Mus musculus: one gene and its partners. Each later gene encodes a partner of the first gene's protein in a complex. Links are inferred from orthologs where the notes say so. Each region holds a gene or a part of one and is shown on either strand. Other genes may lie near its edges.

The links.
Region 2: Gtf2e2 (region 1) and Gtf2f2 share a complex: the UniProt entries of both Homo sapiens proteins name them as parts of the TBP-based Pol II pre-initiation complex. The link is inferred for Mus musculus from reciprocal best matches to the Homo sapiens genes GTF2E2 and GTF2F2.
Region 3: Gtf2e2 (region 1) and Polr2e share a complex: the UniProt entries of both Homo sapiens proteins name them as parts of the TBP-based Pol II pre-initiation complex. The link is inferred for Mus musculus from reciprocal best matches to the Homo sapiens genes GTF2E2 and POLR2E.

The regions. Positions count from the first base shown.
Region 1 is NC_000074.6:33,755,979-33,759,626, forward strand, and holds part of Gtf2e2 (general transcription factor IIE subunit 2), read left to right. Parts: intron 1-2,577; coding exon 2,578-2,760; intron 2,761-3,648. UniProt on the Homo sapiens protein: Recruits TFIIH to the initiation complex and stimulates the RNA polymerase II C-terminal domain kinase and DNA-dependent ATPase activities of TFIIH. Both TFIIH and TFIIE are required for promoter clearance by RNA polymerase.
Region 2 is NC_000080.6:75,906,273-75,909,920, reverse strand, and holds part of Gtf2f2 (general transcription factor IIF subunit 2), read left to right. Parts: intron 1-2,994; coding exon 2,995-3,138; intron 3,139-3,648. UniProt on the Homo sapiens protein: TFIIF is a general transcription initiation factor that binds to RNA polymerase II and helps to recruit it to the initiation complex in collaboration with TFIIB.
Region 3 is NC_000076.6:80,036,763-80,040,906, reverse strand, and holds the start of Polr2e (DNA-directed RNA polymerases I, II, and III subunit RPABC1), read left to right. Parts: upstream 1-1,247; 5' UTR 1,248-1,267; coding exon 1,268-1,324; intron 1,325-2,293; coding exon 2,294-2,468; intron 2,469-3,522; coding exon 3,523-3,719; intron 3,720-3,933; coding exon 3,934-3,992; intron 3,993-4,064; coding exon 4,065-4,143; intron 4,144-4,144. UniProt on the Homo sapiens protein: DNA-dependent RNA polymerase catalyzes the transcription of DNA into RNA using the four ribonucleoside triphosphates as substrates.

The DNA of each region.
Region 1 (3,648 bases):
TTTTTTTTTTTTTAAGATTTATTTATTCATTATATGTAAGTACACTGTAGCTGTCTTCAGACACTCCAGAAGAGGGCGTCAGATCTCGTTACGGATGGTTGTGTGCCACCATGTGGTTGCTGGGATTTGAACTCCTGACCTTCGGAAGAGCAGTCGGGTGCTCTTACCCACTGAGCCATCTCACCAGCCCGGTAAGAGCAGTCTTAACACTAATGTAAACATTACTTCATTACAGAAAGGTGTGTCTGCTACAGAGTTCTTTTTTTGTGGTGAGTGTGGTGCTGGAGATGGAACCCAGCCCAGCATGTGCTAGAACGGTCCACTGTCAAGTCATCTTCAACTGTAGACGTGTTTTACTATTTTGGGATGGGGTGGGTGTCTGCACATGTGTGTGTGTCAGACGGGGAGAGAGGCGAGGAGAAAGGTGGGTGGGAGGCAAGGTCTCATATTGTCATCCATGTTGACTTCAGGCTCAGTGCACTCTGTGCTTTAGCTTCATGAGTCAATGTGCCTGGCTCAGAGTGGGTTTTTTTTTTAATCCTGTAATTTGTTAATATTTTTTACTTTTTCTTAAGAGACTTGATGTATAGTCTTGGTTGAATTTAAATGTACACATTTTTATAATTTGTTTGGCTGTTGGTTTCCATATAATTTTATTTATGTTTTAAAAGGTCCTCTAAGACTACAGTAGAATTGTGAAGTCTGTGTACCAATTTTTCATTGTCATAAATAGTATTTTGAATTGTCAAACTCATAATCTTATATACTCACAAGTTATATATTGCATATATGCTTTAGAAAATTTAAAGCCTAAGATGGGACAGTAAACCATTTTATTACATTATTAGCATTCTGTGGTTTGATAAATGAGTTATTTTTTCTAGTTACTTAGAGAAATAATATGATTGTTAATGTTTAAATAAATACATACCATTTGAAGAACGCCTAAAACAGTCTCTGACCATGCCAGTTTGCAAGTGAATGAATGACAGCTATTTTAGTATTTGCTTCTTTAAAGTTTATTTTATTTATTTTTTTTAAGGATTTATTTTATTATTATATGTGAGTACATTGTAGCTGTCTTCAGACACACCAGAAGAGGGCGTCAGATCTCATTACATATGGTTGTGAGCCACCATGTGGTTGCTGGGATTTGAACTTAGGACCTTCGGAAGAGCAGTCAGTGCTCTTAACTGCTGAGCCATCTCTCTAGACCTTCTTTAAAGTTTATTGGTGTTAACGAATACTACTTTTCAAGATCAGTGATGTATCTGCGGACCCAATGTGAGCTGGGATGTAGTTGTACATGTCTGTAATCCCAGCACTTGGGATATAAAAGCAGAAGGACCACGGCATCATTAATCATAGTGAGTTCAAAGCCAGTCTGGGCTACAGTAAAGCAAACAACACAAAAGGAATACCCCCTAAACAACCAGATGTAATCATTTATTTATTTATTTATTTGAGGCAGATTTTCTCTCACAAAGATCCTCCTATCTCTGTCTCTCAAATGCAGGGATTAAAGACATGTGCTGGAGTAGAGAGATGACTCAGAGCACTGGCTGCTTTTTCCAGAGGTCCTGAGTTCAATTCCCAGCAACCATATGGTGGTTCACAACCATCTGTAATAGGATCTGATGCCCTCTTCTGGTGAACATGAAGATAGCATACTCATATATATATGAAATATGTATATATATGAACTCATTTACAAAAATACATAAATCCTTAAAAAAAATAGATGTGTGCCACCATGACTGGCCTAATTCAATTAATTTATTTTATCAAGTCAGATGTACTTCTTGATTTTCATACTGTGAAGTGATTTGACTTAGTCCAAGTCACAGAAGGTCATGTCTGCTGTCACTTACTCACCAGTGACTAGAAGCAGAACCTGCCTAAGACTGTTGTTTTTGTTTTATTCTTTTTATGTGGGTGTGATTTTTTTGTTTGTTTGTTTATTGATTGATTGATTGATTGAAACAGGGTCTCACTGTGTAGCTCTGACTGCCCTAGAACTCACTGTGTAGACCAGGCTGGCCTAGAACTCACTGTGTAGACCAGGCTGGCCTCAGACTCACTGAGATCCATTTGCTTCCCAGGTTCTGGGGTCAAAGTTTTATGCCACTACTTCTAGCTGAAATCTTACTCTGTAATATAGGCTGGCTCACACTTGGCAGTAGTCTCCTGCCTCAGCTTCCTAACTGCTGAGATTATAGGATTTGAACTTAGGACCTCTGGAAGAGCAGTCAGTGCTCTTACCTGCTGAGCCGTCTCTCCAGCCTTACTTTGTCTTCTAAAAGAGTAAATGTTCTTCAAAGTAGCTATGATAAAACGAGTTTCTCTCTAAAGAATGTATGCAAATAATGTATGAAATTTTCATTTGCTTTTAAGTAAGAAGCAAACTTTATGCTGACTCACTTGGTCTGGGATCCTAGATATCTGGTGTTTTAGGTCTGCTAGTTTATGTTCATATGATTCTTCAGGATGCCACTGTGTTGGGTGATGCTAGAATTTAAGAACATACACATGGGGTTTGCTTTTTATAAATATATCCAAATTGTGTTATTTTTACAGGCTTTAGTCAACAATCCTAAAATTGAAGTAGTGGATGGGAAATATGCCTTCAAACCTAAGTACAACTTGAAAGATAAGAAGGCCCTGCTTAGGCTTTTAGACAATCATGACCAGCGGGGACTAGGAGGAATTCTCTTAGAAGACATAGAAGAGGGACTGCCTAATTCCCAGAAAGCTGTCAAGGTAATGTTTCTTTTCCTCCTGTATCATAACTATAATTTGAATTAGTAATGTTGTGGTTTTTTATTTTCCTGAGACAGGGTCTTACTATGTATGTAGCCCTGGTTGTCCTGGAACTGAGAGATCTGTGTGCCTTTACCCCTGAAAGTGGGGGTTACCATGAAAGGTGGCTACCATGCCCAGCTTCTTATGCTTTTTTTTTTGGTTTTTTTTGTTTTTCGAGACAGGCTTTCTCTGTGCAGCCCTGGCTGTCCTGGAACTCACTCTGTAGACCAGGCTGTCCTGGAACTCAGAATATCCGCCTGCCTCTGCCTCCCGAGTGCTGAGATTAAAGGCATGTGCCACCATGCCCGGCGCTTCTTATGATTTTAAGATACACTTGTTTTTATGCGTGTATCTTTGGGTAGCTGCCCATGTCAAGGAAAGGAGAGGGTGTTGGATCCCCTGGAGCTAAAGCTCACACTGCCTGCTGGGAACTGAACTTGGGTCCTTTGGAAGAGTAGCAAGGGCTTTTAACTTGAGTCATCTTTCTAGTCTGCTCTTCATGGTTTTAAACTTGAGAGAGAGAGAGAGAGAGAGAGAGAGAGAGAGAGAGAGAGAGAGAGAGAGAAAGAAGAGGAGGGGAGAGGAGGGGAGGGGGAGGGGAGAAGAGAAGAGGAAGGAAAGAAAAAAGGGAGAAAGAAAGGGGAGGGAAGAAAGTGGAGTTATTTTTAAAGTCTTTATTCTGTATACATGGGGCTTTAGTGGTCCAGTTAAAATTTGAATTTTGTGGAGCTGGAAGGATAAATGGCTTAGCAGTTGGGTTTGTTCCCAGCACCCACATGGTGACTCACAGCACTGTCTAACTCCACTTCACAGGGATATGACTCCCTTTTCTGACCTCTGAGTGCA
Region 2 (3,648 bases), on another chromosome or scaffold:
ACTCTAGGTCCGATCCTGGTCCCTTGTGCGTTCTTTCTCCCCAGTGCACTTACTGTCGTAGTTCTGTCTTTTGGACCAGAGAAAGCATGTATCCTTCTAAGAGACCCAGAGAAAGCATGTATCCTTCTAAGAGACCCAGAGAAAGCGTGTATCCTTCTAAGAGACCCAGAGAAAGCGTGTATCCTTCTAAGAGACCCAGAGAAAGCGTGTATCCTTCTAAGAGACCCAGAGAAAGCGTGTATCCTTCTAAGAGACCCAGAGAAAGCGTGTATCCTTCTAAGAGACCCAGAGAAAGCGTGTATCCTTCTAAGAGACCCAGAGAAAGCGTGTATCCTTCTAAGAGACCCAGAGAAAGCGTGTATCCTTCTAAGATTCAGACTGCGCGCGTGGTTTCCTTTTATGTGGTTTTAAAGACACTCTTCCCTCATTTTTGCATGCTTTTTTATTTTTCTTTCTTTTACCACTGAGCCAAGTATTCTACCACTGACCTCTATCCCCAGCCCTTTTGGGATTTTTCTAACTTGAAATAGTTTTGCCAAGCTGCCCAGGCTGGCCCTAGATTCACTCTGTAGCCCACACAGCCTTGAACTTTTGATCTTGTCTCTGCCCCAAAGTACCTGGCATGCAGTTGAGGTTTTTGTCTCCGTCGTGAGCTTGTCCTAAGAAGTTCAGAGAACATAAGGAGCTTAAGTGCTTACACCATAGCTCATGTGCAGGTGTGAAGCTGCTCCTCACACTGCAGTCATCCCCGTGTGCAAGCCTTGCTCTCTGCTGGCCTGGTCCAGGCCACCAAGGCTTAATTTCCCAGGGAGCTTTGAGACCGACCTTCCTCCAGGAAACCACTCTGCCTTTCCAATAAACAAACAAACAAACTGAACCAACTGAAATATGTTGTGTGTATGTGCGCACACATGCAAGCACATATTTGTGGAGGCCACAGAACCCTAAAGTACTTTTTTTTACCTTGAGAGTAGGTTTCTCATTGGCATGGACCTCTTCAGAAGCTCAGGTGTCTGCCTGCCTAGCCCTGGGATTCCGAGCGCTTACCACTATGTCTAGCCTTTGACCTGCATTCTGGGGGTGGAACTCAGGCTCTCGTGCATTTGCTAACTGAACTGTTCCCAATTTTCAGTGCAAAGTAAATTTCTACAAATGATTAGTACCAGGGTAATAATGGAATTGACTAATTTTCAAATTTTATTGATATTCATTAACTGTACAAAATACTAGGTTTCATTACATTTCATCCATGTCGATACAATTGATCATTTCAAGCCCCTGTTACATACCCTGCTCCCCTGCTCCCCTCATCTATCTTCAGGCTCTCCTACTTTCAGGTATTATCTCTAGGTTTCTTTCCTCTTTTGATTGTTGTTGTGGTTACTACCACATGTTGTCTTAGCTAGGGTCACTATTTCTGTGATGAACACCATAACCAAAGCAACTTGGGGTTTTATTTGGTTTATACTTCTGTATTAGTGTTCATTATTAAAGGAACTCAAACAGGGCAGGATCCTAGAGGCAGGAGCTGATATAGAAGCCAAGGAGGGGTGCTGCATACTGGCTTGTTCAGCCTGCTTCCTTATAGAACTCAGGGCCACCAGCCCAGGAATGCCCCCACCCACTGTGGGCTGGGTCCTCTCCCATCAATCACTAATTAAGAAAATTCATTATAGCCAAATCTTATGGAGACATTTTCTCAATTAAGTTCCCTTTCAGATAATTCTACCTTAACGTCAGTTGACACAAAACTAGCATGTGTGTGTAAGTATACATCCATACCAGCTGCTGGGTCCATTTGATGCTGCTCATATGTATACCCTGGTCACTTGCTACTAGATAACCAACTAGGGTTCATCCCTGGGGAAGGTGTATGCTCCTTTTCTCCACAAGCATCAGTTGCTGGGGCTCTTGATTTAGAGGCAGGACTTTCTGAGATTTCCCCCTGAGTTGCAGGTCAACTGGTATTATTCAGGTCTTTTGAGGCAACTATAGTGTTGCACTTTGATGGGTGCAGCTTCTCTGTCACATTCAGAAGAGTCTATCTCACATCGGATGTCCTGATCCTGTGGCTTTTAACAGTCTTTCCACTCCGTCTTCTGCCGTGCTCCCTGGGTTGTGTTGTGAATGTATCTGTTGCTGGTGGACGCCCCAGGGTCAGTTGGTCTCTGGTCTCTCTGTTCTTTGGCCATTTGTAGCTTTCTATAATGTTCTCCATCTGCCTCAAAGAGAAGCTTTTCTTGTGAGAGCCGAGAGTTGTTTCCCATGCTGATGTGTGTGAAGATGGGTAACTCTGTGATGATGATCCTGGTGTCTTGATTTTATGTGTATAAGAGGTACTTTACTTTTTATATTAAAAATTAGAGAATATTATACATGCAAACTTCAAGGACATCTGAGGTGATGTGAGACAAAATGAAGATTTAAAAAAAAATAATTGGCGTCAGCGCTGAGTGTATCTGCCTTTCTTGTTGCCGCCATACCTGCTTGAGTGCAGATGTAAAGCAGAGCAGGGGCAAAAGGGAGGAGGCTGGCGCGCCATCACCACTCTTAACCAGCGCGTCCCACACTCTCGGTGGCTAAAGAACCTGTGCTGGGGCAAACCTGTGCCCAAAAGCTCCTAGAGCTGTCACCTAGCAAGTGCAGCTTACTTCATAAAAATGTCTTACTGTATCTTGATTAGTCAAAAACAAAGGAAGTGCTCGTTAGTTTCTGGGCAAGCCAAGCAGCAGGAAGAAATCCTCCTTGGGGAGAAATGAATGTGTTACGTAAAGCTTCATAAGAGATGAAAGTGTTACAGTTGACCAGTGTTGCAACTGTCCTAACGTCTGAAGGTACTTCGAGTCCTGCAGCGACCAGAGTTTCCAGTTCTAAGTCCCTGCCCGAGGCTGGCGGCGTGAAACTTTAAAAGTGGTTTTCAGGTGACTGAGACCTGTTTCCAAATGATTTCTTTCCAAATAATGAATTGATATCTTTCTTTGTTTTTGCCTATAGATTGAATATGAAAGGAAGAAGAAAGAGGATGGAAAGCGAGCTCGGGCAGACAAACAACACGTCCTAGACATGCTGTTCTCTGCCTTTGAGAAGCATCAGTACTATAATCTCAAGGACTTGGTGGACATCACAAAGCAGCCTGTGGTATGTACACATTCTCCTGGTCTTTACACTTACCCTGCCTCATTAGCGTGCTATTAGTGCGGAGGAACATGATTTAAGTTTGAATCCACTCTGCTGATGGAGTTTATGTCAGCACTCAGAAAACAAAATTAATGCAGCTTTGTCTTTCAAACATGTGCTTCATGACTTTAGATTTAAAATACATTTTAGAGCCATTAAAAAGGTTCAGTTTATAAAGGCACTCAGTTCAAATGCCTGATGATGCCCAGAGCCCACTTGGAAGCAGTGAACCTATCCTGAAACTTGTCTTCTGACTGCTGTACACACAGCCAGGCACTTAATGTGTGCACACATAATAATAAAATGTCAGGGCCTGGAGAGGTGGCTCAGTGGTTAAGAGACTAGTTGTTCTTCTAGAGGACTCAGATTTGATTCTGAGCACCTACCATTCTTAACATTAATCTGAGATCTGTTAAGCATTTTGCAATCTTTTTAATTTCCACTAAAATGTTCGTGGTGCAGTGTTAGGGA
Region 3 (4,144 bases), on another chromosome or scaffold:
CCAGTTGGGATCAGCCTAAGTTCTCAGGCAGGAACTGGTGATGATCTGTAGATGAGCTGTCAGACGCACATCAGGACAGAATGGAGGCATCTGGACTTCCAAGGACAGACCTTGCCAGTCTTGGTGGCACACGCCTTTAATCCCAACACTGAGAGGCAGAGGCAGGCCATTCTCTGCGCTGTTGAGACCTGGTCTCTATACCAAATTTCAAGTCAGCACACTCCCCCAAAGAAAAGGAGAGGGCTGGTGAGATGGCTCAGTGGGTAAGAGCACCCGACTGCTTTTCTGAAGGTCCGAAGTTCAAATCCCAGCAACCACATGGTGGCTCATAACCACCCATAATGAGATCTGACTCCCTCTTCTGGAGTGTCTGAAGACAGCTACAGTGTACTTTCATGTAATAAATAAATAAATAAATAAATAAACAAATAAGAAAGAAAGAAAAGGAGAAAGGGGCGTTCCTGTGAACTCCCATTGTATAGTTGGAAGGGTTTAGCCCTGGAATCCCTTTCCCTAGGATTCATTTTCTCACCACCTTCTCAAACTTTTCACGAGTTAGCCCACCATATACACACTTGTTTGTTCATTGTGTGTATGCCCGCACATCGATTGTTTTCATTTTAGATTTTTAGTCGTTTAACTATGTTTATCTGTGTGTCTGCATGTGGGTATAGACCTGTAAGTGTGGCCCTTGGAGGCCAGAGGCATCAGACTCTCTGGAGCTGGAGTTACAAATGGCTGGGGGCCACCTCATGTGGGTGCTTGCATCCGATTTCTCATGTAAAGTGCAGATACACTAATAAAAACTTGTATAAAAAGGGAAATTGAGGCACATGAACCTGGCTGTTCATCACTGGTCTCTTGCTTTCTTTCGAGACAGGGTTTTCTCTGTAGACCTGGCTATAGAGCAGGCTGGCCTCGAACTCACAGATCTGCTTGCCGAGGACGGGGATTAAAGGCGTGGACTACAGCCCGGGAGACGCCTAAGGGAGGGAAATAAAACTGTTATCAGGTCAAGTATCGCGAGATCTTCCCGACGCGCGACACCGCCCCGGTGAAGGCTGGGGCTGCCCAACGCGCAGCCTGTCGTGGAAAGTAGGTTTATTCCGGCGTTCACCTTAGACAGCACGAACCTGGGCGGGGGCCTTCCCAGCCCTTGGCGCAGGCGCACTGCCGGGGGGCGGGGGGCATTTTGTGCGTCCGGCGCAGGCTCCGTGCTGGCAGCTCCACGAGCGCGCGTGCACAGTTGTTTGGGAAGCGCGACAGCATGGACGACGAGGAGGAGACCTACCGGCTGTGGAAGATCCGCAAGACGATCATGCAGGTGATCAAGCGTGAGGAGCTTTATGCGAGCGAGCGTTCAGTTGCGGACTAACTGCGGGTTGTCCGCCGAGGCCCGCCTCCCGCAGGGGCCAATCCTCCTGGATTGGAATGCATCCCCGTTTAAAGTGTGGAGCCCACCCACGCTGGCTTCAACTCTTAGAAATCCTACTGCTTCCACCTCCTAACTCTGCCTCAGGGGAAAAGGCCTGGGTGGGCTCCGTTTCGGGAGAGGGGGCTGCTGCGTGGTCACACTTGGTTTTATGCGAGCTAGGTAGCCGCCCACACGAAAGCTATCAACCATCTGTAACCCCAGTTCCAGGGGATCTGACGCCCTGTCCTGATCTCTGGGGACTCCAGACACACATAGGATGAAAAAACAGTATTTTTAAAAACAGAACAAGCCGGTATGATGGTACACGCCTTTAATCCCAGCACTCTGGAGGCAGAAGCAAGCGAATCTCTTTAAATTAGAAGTCAGCCTCATCTACATAGTGATTTCCAGAATAGACAAAGTCACGCAGAGAAACCCTGTCTTGAAAAAGAAAAAGGGAATAAAAGAAAAAATTCTTGGTTGTTTTGAGTTGAACACATGAGACACCATTATTAGATAAAGAGGTATGCATAGTTTTGACTTATGCTGTGTTGGTGGAGCCCAGGGCCACCTCATGCCTGTTCCTCAGCCCTGATCCTGGATGATGCTCTAGTCTCCCTCATCAGGAACACTCAAGACTGGGGACAGGAAGGTGCCTGTATTCAGAAGGTTGCCTACAGTTGCCAGGGGATTAATCCCAGCCTGCTCCACTGAGGTTGGGGGGAGGAGAGGCTTGGCCGGGCCGCTGTGGTCTGAGCCTATACAGAGTTTGGGTACTGCTGGATCAGTTCAGTGTTAGTCCCCAGCCTCGGCCATTCAGGGTCAGGTCTGCGAGCTAAGTGCTCAGGCTGACTGCCTCTTTGCCTCTTGTCTCTGCAGCTGTGTCATGACCGTGGCTACCTGGTGACCCAGGATGAACTGGACCAGACACTTGAGGAATTCAAGGCGCAGTTTGGGGACAAGCCCAGCGAAGGACGGCCAAGGCGCACAGACCTCACGGTGCTGGTGGCCCACAACGATGACCCCACAGACCAGATGTTTGTGTTCTTCCCAGGTGAGGCCCTTGGGCTGGCAGGAGTGGTCTCCTCCAGGCCCTGGCTCAGGTGCCAGTGAATGCATGTCCCACTCTGGCCTAACGCTGCCTGTAAGATTGTGGCAGCTGCCTGCTTTTGTCCCTGTCTCCCCTGGGAAGCCTCCCTTTTGCTGGTGTCGTTTTCATCCCATAAGCCCCAGAACCAGCTCTCAGCCCTCCACCCCCTGGCTCCTATATGCTGTATTCTATAGCTTCTGCCTGGGAGTCCCAGGGCCAGCTATGCCACCCCCACACCCCCTGTGTGCTGTATTCTACAGCTTCTGCCAGCAGCGCAGGTGTCTTGTGGGAGTGAAGGCTATTGGGGAGCCCAGGACCTCCCTGTGCAGCTACATTCAGTCTCCCCAGACAGCTTGCCTCTTTTAATACCTAATGCTTTGTGGCCCCGGGACCTGGTTTTTAGTGTGAGAATTGGGGGGTGCGGGGATGGGCATGGTAGCATATGCCTGTAAGCCCAGTGTTTGAGAGGCAGAGGCAGGCAGTCGAGGCCAGCCTGGTCTATACAATGACTTCCGGGACAACTATGGAGGGCATTGGTTCTCAGCCTTCCTGATGCTGGGACCCCTTAGTACACTTCACATTGTGACCTCCAACCATAAAATCTTCATTGCTAATTCATAACTAATTTTGCTACTATTATGAGTCATAATGTAAATATACCTGTGTTTATCCAGCAATTTGCAAACTAGGTGGCCTGGGTCTGCTCCTGCGCTCTGCCTGAGGAGACAAGGCTAGCCTCATGTAGACACAGGGTCCATCTCTTGGTCAGTCAGTTTCTCCTTGAGGCTGTCTAAGCTGACAGTACCATATCCCCCAAACCCCAGAGCTGCTGAGAGCCCCCACCCCCGTTCCAGGGGGGCCGCAGTTCCTGCATACCCTGCAGCTTCTGCAGTGATAGCTGAGCCCCCTGGCAGCCCCATCATGGCTGCCTTGATGTTCTAGTCTTCCCTTGCAAGCAGAGAAACTAAGACCACAGGCTCCAGTAGTGAGTGTGAGGGTGGTGCTTGTGTGCCCGCAGAGGAGCCCAAGGTGGGCATCAAGACCATCAAGGTATACTGCCAGCGCATGCAGGAGGAAAACATCACACGGGCGCTGATTGTGGTGCAGCAGGGCATGACGCCCTCCGCCAAGCAGTCCCTGGTGGACATGGCCCCGAAGTATGTGCTGGAACAGTTTCTACAGCAGGAGCTGCTCATCAATATCACAGAGCACGAGGTGTGTGTGGTGGGGTGGGGCGTAGTGCTGCCTGCATCCAGGACACGGGCCGGGGCGGGGTGCTTCCCCGGTTTTGGCCCTGAGCATCCAACTTGGTGATATTAATAGCCTGGTTTTGTCCTCTGTCCCAGCCCCATGACAATACCCATTAGTCTGTTGGTCTGTTGAAGTTCCTGATGGCCGCGTGCCTGTGGGTGGGTCTCTGTCTCCACAGCTAGTCCCTGAGCACGTGGTCATGACAAAGGAGGAGGTGACTGAACTGCTGGCTCGATAGTATCCTTTACTCTGTCCCCACACCCCCCTCACCCCAGCGCTGCCCGCCAGCTGCTTCCTTGACTGTTCTAGCAAGCTTCGTGAGAGCCAGCTACCCAGAATCCAGGCCGGGGACCCAGTGGCACGGTACTTTGGGATCAAGCGAGGGCAGG